2 linked regions of the Rattus norvegicus genome follow. Each later gene encodes a partner of the first gene's protein in a complex. Links are inferred from orthologs where the notes say so. Each region holds a gene or a part of one and is shown in the gene's direction. Other genes may lie near its edges.

The links.
Region 2: Cinp (region 1) and Afg2b share a complex: the UniProt entries of both Homo sapiens proteins name them as parts of the 55LCC heterohexameric ATPase complex. The link is inferred for Rattus norvegicus from reciprocal best matches to the Homo sapiens genes CINP and AFG2B.

The regions. Positions count from the first base shown.
Region 1 is NC_086024.1:135,710,683-135,714,500, reverse strand, and holds part of Cinp (cyclin-dependent kinase 2-interacting protein), read left to right. Parts: intron 1-1,170; coding exon 1,171-1,300; intron 1,301-2,644; exon of another isoform or gene 2,645-3,818. UniProt on the Homo sapiens protein: Component of the DNA replication complex, which interacts with two kinases, CDK2 and CDC7, thereby providing a functional and physical link between CDK2 and CDC7 during firing of the origins of replication.
Region 2 is NC_086021.1:130,158,331-130,162,148, forward strand, and holds the end of Afg2b (ATPase family gene 2 protein homolog B), read left to right. Parts: intron 1-771; coding exon 772-902; intron 903-1,858; coding exon 1,859-1,984; coding exon of another isoform or gene 1,985-1,988; intron 1,989-2,647; coding exon 2,648-2,812; 3' UTR 2,813-3,011; downstream 3,012-3,818. UniProt on the Homo sapiens protein: ATP-dependent chaperone part of the 55LCC heterohexameric ATPase complex which is chromatin-associated and promotes replisome proteostasis to maintain replication fork progression and genome stability.

The DNA.
Region 1 (3,818 bases):
ACTACTTTAAAAAAGTCTTTTAAAAAGATCCTGTTTTTTAAAAAATGAAAGAAAGAAGACAAAGGAGGAGAGAGAACTCCGAGGTACTCACCAGGCAAACCTGAGGACCCGATTTCAAACCTCAGTATCCACGTGGAAAGTTGGGCATCTCGGTGTGGGTTTATAATCCCAGCACTAAGAAAGGAGGCGGAGCCCCAGCCTAGTCTGTAAGCCCTAGATCCATCCCATTGATGAGAAACCATGTCTTCAAAAAGGAGGGCGGCTCCTGAGGAATGCCACCACAGGCTAACTACTGGTTCTGTACTTACTTGTGGCACACATCATAGAGGATGCTCATACTCTGTTTGCCTCATGGTCCAGACCAGAAAGAAGATACTGGGATCCCAAAGTCCTTTGAAGGGAATCCTTTCCCTACGTGGACAGAAGCCTTTCCACTAGGCTCACCTTAATAGTTGCACTTTCTTCTAACAGCACCATAGACTCCAGTTTTAAAACTACTCTTGACTCCTTTGGGAAATGACCCATGTCTTACGCGTTTCATAGAACCAGCACTAAGCCCTACACCAAGGATTCCACATGGCTACACTTCACTGCCCCTAATACAAATGAGTCCCGATGTATAGCTCAGCAGTGGAGCATTTGCAGCACACAGAGGAGGCCCTTGGCTCCATCCAAGCACAGTAAACTTGGGTAACTAGATGTGCTCACGGTGTAAATGTAATCCTTGTATAGGAGAGTCCTTAGGAAACCTGTTAGCTCTAGGGCTAGAAAGATGGCCAAAGTGTTAGGAGCTCTTGCTATTCTTTCAAAGAACTGGAATCTGGTTCTCAGCAGCTCCTAACTGTCTCTAACTCCAGCTCCAGGGACTCCAGGGACTCCAGTGCCCAGTTCTGGCCTCCACGTTATAAATGAGCATCTATTGCAGTGACGTTTGCAACATGTTGCAATATGTCTAACATGTATGCAATGTATCTAACATGCATGCAATATGTCTAACATGATTATATAAATGATGACTTCTGTAGGATCCATTACAACAAAATGAGGCTACTGTGTAGCCAGGTTGTGAACTCCTCCTCCTCAAGCACTGGGGTTAGAGATGTGCAGTCGCCTGGCATGAGATGAGTCTGAAGAGTGTAATTTGTACCCACTACCTTCTGCTTTGTCCAGGAGTAAAGAGAAGGTTGAATTAGAGAGCAGCAGTCCAACTTCCATCGAAGAGGAAGAGAAGACAAACCTGGACTATGATAAAGGACTTGAAGCATTGTGTGAGGAGCTACAGGCCATCTTGGACGGCTTGGTAAGACCTGAAGCTACTGGCCATCAACATCACTGTCTCTCAGCCCAGGGCAGCTGTTTGGGGTTTGCTTGACTGTGGGGGCATTCAGAAGAGTCGGAGATCTCTCCTCCCACCTACTTACAAACCCTGATGCTCTCAAGTCACGTCGGGTACATACTCCAGCAGTGTCAACTGCTTCAAGGGTCCAGAGTGAATATTCAGATTCTGTGGGCCAGACCATTTCTATCACACTGACTTCTTGGTGCTGCTGTGTAACACGAGAGCAGCCATGGTGTTGTCAGTGTGGGCCTAGCAGTTCCTACTTCAGGCTGTGGTCCGAATCAACTGCATTCCTTGTTCAGATTGTTTGCACTTAGGCATTGGGAGTTCTTGTCTGAAATACCGTCTTTCTAGTAAAGCTCCGTTTGGGGAAGTTTTTGACATTTCCTTATTGACTAGCACTGAAAGGTCCCAGGCTTACTTTGCATATTTCCTGCCTCCGCCTAAGAATCAGCATTTTCCCCCAAGGGGCCTAGATCTTTGATTAGGAGAGGCCTGATAAAATGTGGTTAGCTGGGCTGGAGGGATGGCTCAGAGGTTAAGAGCACTGACTGCTCTTTCCGAGGTCCTGAGTTCAATTCCCAGCAACCACATGGTGGCTCACAGCCATCTGTAATGGGATCCGATGCCCTCTCTGGTGTCTGAGGACAGCTACAGTGCACTCACAGACATAAAATCTTTTCTTTTAAGGAAGTGGTTACTGTGGGGCTAGGGAGATGGCTCGGTGTTAGGAGCACTTGCTTCTCTCTCAAAGGACTGGAGTTTGGTTCCCAGCACAACTCTCTCTAACTCCAGCTCCAGGGCCTCCAGTGCCAGTCCCGCCTCCACAGCCACCCACACATAAATGATAAAATAAACATCTTAGAGGAAGCAAGCTCTACATGCTAGCCATCATGTTAGAAGCTCTCTGCTCTGATGAACTTGAATCTGTCTGAAACTGGTTTGAACTCAGTGTTCAAACCCAAAAGTTGGTGTTGGAGGCTGTGAACCCTGTTTTTTTGTTTTGTTTTTTTTCTCTCCCCATCCATTAAAGTGGTTTGGGGTTAAGTATCTTGGTCATACCCTTTCCCCTAAGATGTACCCCATTTTCGTGGAACGTGTTATTGTGGGAGACACTACAGCTGCTCTGTGGTCCAGGCTGCTCTTTCATTGTTAGCTCAGCAAAGCACACACAGATAGGACTCTGTCCCTGTTGGTGGCTGAGCTACAGATCTGGGTCAGAGTCTCTAGATTTCCCTTCCCTCTGAATCCTTCCAAGCTTTTCTAGAATTAGGAGGTGTCCGGAAGCTGCTTTAGGGTGTAGACTTCTTTTTTTTTTTTTTTTTTTTTTTTTGGTTCTTTTTTTTCGGAGCTGGGGACCGAACCCAGGGCCTTGCGCTTCCTAGGTAAGCGCTCTACCACTGAGCTAAATCCCCAGCCCCCGGGTGTAGACTTCTTTACAGAGTTGGGTTCAAAAAGCACAGATCCAGCCCTGGCCCCGCCCGCCTCCTCACCTCAACCTTGAGCATCTTCCCAGCTGCGACTGGAAATGATGGAGCCTGTCTGGAGGTTAAGCGAAGGGAAATATCGAACCTAAGATGATTTGAGAAAGGAGAGGCTTTTAAAGATTAACATTTGCTAAATTTAGTGTGTGTCACTTTCGATAAAACCAGGGGATGGACGGCAGTTGGGAGGATCCAGTACAGGAGTTATGACTGATGCTATCCGTCTCTTTTATCCCTCAGACACATAACAGTTAACTACACTGAGGAGTTAGGAGATTTAGTTTTGTTTTTTGTTTTTGTTTTTGTTTTTTTTCCGGAGCTGGGGACCGAACCCAGGGCCTTGCGCTTGCTAGGCAAGCACTTTACCACTGAGCTAAACCCCCAACCCCGAGATTTAGTTTTAATAAACCTTTGCTACTTAAATCTAAAACCCTAGTTAGCTCTGTCTATTGTATTTAATGATCACTGTGTAGCCGGGTGTTTCATGACCCACGTCACTGCCCCTCCATCTGTCATACTTTGGTCACTGTGGAGAAGGTGCTGGTGTCTCCTGCTGGGAGCTGGCAGAGGACACAGTAGCAGGGGAAGGGAGGTCTTCAGAGACCCAGGTTTCAGGTTCTTACTGCCTTCTCCTGTGTGCATGAGGCTCCCTTTCACTCTCGATGCCATATGAGTAAGAAAAGAGAGGCTCACAGAGGCTTCATAGAGAGGCAGAAACGTGCATGCTGGGTGCCTTTCTGCCTGTGTCATTCTGTGATACCAGCCCACGGGGACTCCGCCAGACCTTTGGAACTAAACTGCTACTGCTGCTTAGAAACCTTACTGAGGTGGGACTCCGCAAGCTCTGCTTTCTCTAAGGCTGTGAAAACCACAACTCCCACCTGTCTCCATTCCTCTGGAAATCTGCTGTCTTCTGTGGAGTTAATGGGGTGAATGACTGGAATTTCAGCCCCACCAGGACTATACATCGTAGCCTTCAAGTCTTTTATAGTTAC
Region 2 (3,818 bases), on another chromosome or scaffold:
AGTTCAAATCCCAGCAACCACATGGTGGCTCACAACCAACTGTAATGAGATCTGATGCCCTCTTCTGGTGTGTCTGAAGACAGCTGCAGTGTACTTATAATAAATAAATCTTAAAAAAAAAAAAAAGAATTAAAAAAAAAAAAGTGAGGTGTGCTAGTGTGCACTGATACACCCAGTACTCGGGAAGTGCAGACACAGCTCGTAAGGTCAGTTTTGTTGGGTAAGGAGTTTTGGGACAGCCTGGGGTACATGAGACCTTACCTCAAATAGAAACAAATTTGCTGCTTGTCATCCAGGGTTTGCATAACTGCAGTTCAGTTTGATTGTCATCATTTCTGCCTCTGGAAAGAAGAATAAAAAGTGACTTTCCACCTTTGGGAAAGCTAGACTTTCCAGAACTGTACCTGTCCCCCGTGGTCACACACGCTGCCCTCGAGCAGCTTCTTTGTAGTTGCTGCTCACTGAGTGCTTGGGTGGATCTGGGCGCTGGCCAGGTGTTCTTCCCTGTGGCCTCTCCCCAGTTCTCACACAGAGAAACGCCTGTCAGGACTAGCCATTCCTTCAGACACACAAGGTAGCTTTGATTAGTGAGTTGTCATGGGGTGGCTTTATACCAAGAAGGTGGCTGGGACTGGGGAAGCATCCTGGTTCCAAAAGAAGGCCGTCCCTTTCAAACATTACCTTCTCACATGGGATTATTCACTAGGATCATCTAGGATTTCACTAAGTCACAGTTTGCGATGTTACTCTGTGTTATATGCTTTCCCTCAGAGTGTCAAGAAATTCTTAGTCGGAGTGTCATGATTGTTGTGGCGACAAACAGGCCTGATGTGTTAGACGATGCCTTGTTACGACCTGGCAGATTAGATAAGATGGTCTATGTCCCCCCTCCTGATCGAGAGGTAAGCAGTGCGTCACATCTGCCTAGTAGCATGTCCGGATAAGCTCCAGACTGGGTAGTGGTGGGCGGAGTGTCCTGCTCTCACTGTGCAGTGCTGGTATCCAGTTCTTTGCTTGGTGGCTCTTCATAAAGTCACGTATTTGTCCGTTCTGGTTCCCTGGCCCTGCCTGGAACATGCCTGGAAGTGACTCTAGTGCTCCCAGCAGTACTGAGGGCACTGGGTGTCATTGTATCTGGCATGGAAAAATCCTTAGGCATTTGAGTCCCTGAAAGGGCATTAGTGGACTGGGTCTGTGGGGACTGCAGCATGTCCAGTCAGGAAATGCTTTGCTCTTAAACACCCAGAATGACTGTCAGATGGTGAAGGGCTCCGGGAATTAATTTTTCCTTCCTTGGGCTTTTATCAACTTTTAAAGAGATCTCTTTTTTATGTAAATGTCTGATGCTTCTAAATGTGTCTCATAAATCGTGTGTTTGTCTCTAAACCTATTCTGATAGCACTCTGGTTCCCAAAAGAGAGTCATCTTGTCCTATAAGGAGAAATGCTTATGACTGGCAAGTTCAGAAGTTAATTAACAATATTTGTTTTCCATGATACTGTTTCTACCTTTGCTGTGTAGACCATTGATGACTCCTCTCTCTTTCAGGAGCAAGACTGATTTTAATTGTTTGAATAGAACACACACCACACACACACATTGTACACACAAATATACACCCCCCCACACCACACACACACACAAATGCACACACCATACATACATCACACATAGTCATCACACACACACACCATACACACATATACTGCACCCCTCCACATACCCACACAACACAAACATATACATACATTCTTTGTAATGTAATAGAAAATTTGAACTTAAAATGCTTACTGTATCAGTGCTGAACATAAGTGTGATAACATTGTAAATATTTGTTTGTTTGTTTATTTTCTTCCAGGGCAGGCTTTCTATTTTAAAAGTCTGTACAAACAACATGCCAATAGGGCTCAATGTTTCTCTAGAGAACCTGGCAGCAGAAACCTGTTATTTCTCTGGAGCTGATCTGAGAAACCTCTGCAAAGAAGTGAGTATGTACTGTTTTATTCGAGGCCAGAGCCTTTGAATGGTTTCCCTTTCCGTAAGCTTTACCAAATATAAAATCGAGAGGAATGCACAGAGCTGAAGGAAATGGTACTGAATGACTGTCAAGTGACCACACTTTTATAGCCAGCACATGTGTCAGGAAGGGATTGTTGGTATTCTAGAATCTTCCTCTGACCCTTCCTACCCACTGCCCCTGCTGCCCACCAAAGGTGGCCACTTGCTCACTCCTACACTGGAGACGAGCTTTGCGGCCTTTGAGCTCTGAGTTTCTACATTCTGCCATAAACAGTTTGTCTGTGCTGGGAGTGTGGAGTGGATCTTCCATACACATACATGGCTGGAAGAATTGCCAAGTCATAAATGTGCCCTCTTTTCTTTTATGAGCAGTGCTGCAGGGCTCCTCTCATCTTAGACTGTGTGTGCATTCAGGGCGTGTATGTTATTCTACAGTCTGCCTTTTTAAGGCTGGATTTTTAGTGTACAGGAAGCTGTGGTCTATGGTGGATTTGTAGTCAGCTTAACCTTTAGTGTTTTTGGGTGGCTTTGAACTCCTTTGATGTGACACTGGATTGCAGTGCTGACAGTTACTGTTCACTGTTAATGTGAAGCAGATTGACTGTTGCCCACTGCTTGTGTCCTTCAGGCTGCTCTGTTTGCTCTGCAAGAAAATGGACTGGAAGCGACCACAGTGGAACAGGAGCACTTCACAGAAGCACTCAAGACTGTGAAGCCGTCCTTAACTCTGAAAGACCTGACTTTCTACGAAAACTTATTTAAAAAAGAACTTTCCAACTTGGAAGATCATTAAATTTTTATTTTATTCAGTTTTTTATATAAAGTGGTTTGCAACTTCACGCTTTCATGAGAGGGGGAAGGGAGAGGTAGGGGACTGGAGAGAGAGAGAGAGAGAGAGAGAGAGAGAGAGAGAGAGAGAGAGAGACTGAGACACTAAGAACTTGCCTGATAAGGACCATTTCACTTCTGAAAGATATATTAAACACTATAGTAAAAAGCATGTGTGTGATTTTGTTAGGATAATTGTTTTTGGTGATCGTCTTATGACTTTGAACTGTATTATCCTTTGGGAAAGCTGCTGGCATAGAGCAGTGGACTTCAGCATGCTCTAGCCAAGATTCACCACACTGGCATTTTGTCACATTTGTCTTTGCTTCTTCCTCTGCACCCACACCATTTTCTTAACAGCCTCGGGCTACAACAGAGCCTTAAGTCAGTCTTGGGACAACACTGAGAAGTGTGCCATTAGGCAATTTTGTTGTGAATGTCATAGAGTAGTATGGTTATTCCAGCTAGATAGTGACACCACCAGGTAAGATTTTGGGAGTTCCCGCTCGTACACGTCTGTCACTCAAGCATACTGTTCATGGCTGTGCATGTGCAAAGCTCCATTATGGCTGGTGTCGAGTATGTGTGCCTCACAAAGTTGCCTTACGTTACAGTTAACTCACAAATTCTAGGAATTTTAGCATCAACGTTTGTGTTTTAATGTATTCCATATATTTCCCTGTCCCAGTGATTCCCTGTGTGATGGTGTTGTTTTCCTGTCAGACGATTTAATCTGGGATTACACACTGAGTAGTTTTCTTGAGTCTTCCATGTCTTGGAAACAATTCTCAGTCTCTCTCGGCCTCGACAGCTTTGAGAAATGTAGATCAGGTTGGTTGGTTTGTCTGTCCGTCTGTCTCTGTCTCTCTCTCTGTCTTTCTCTGTCTCCCTCCCTCCCTCCCTCTCTCTCTCTCTCTCTCTCTCTCTCTCTCTCTCTCTCTCTCTCTCGCTCTCTCGCTCTCTCGCTCTCT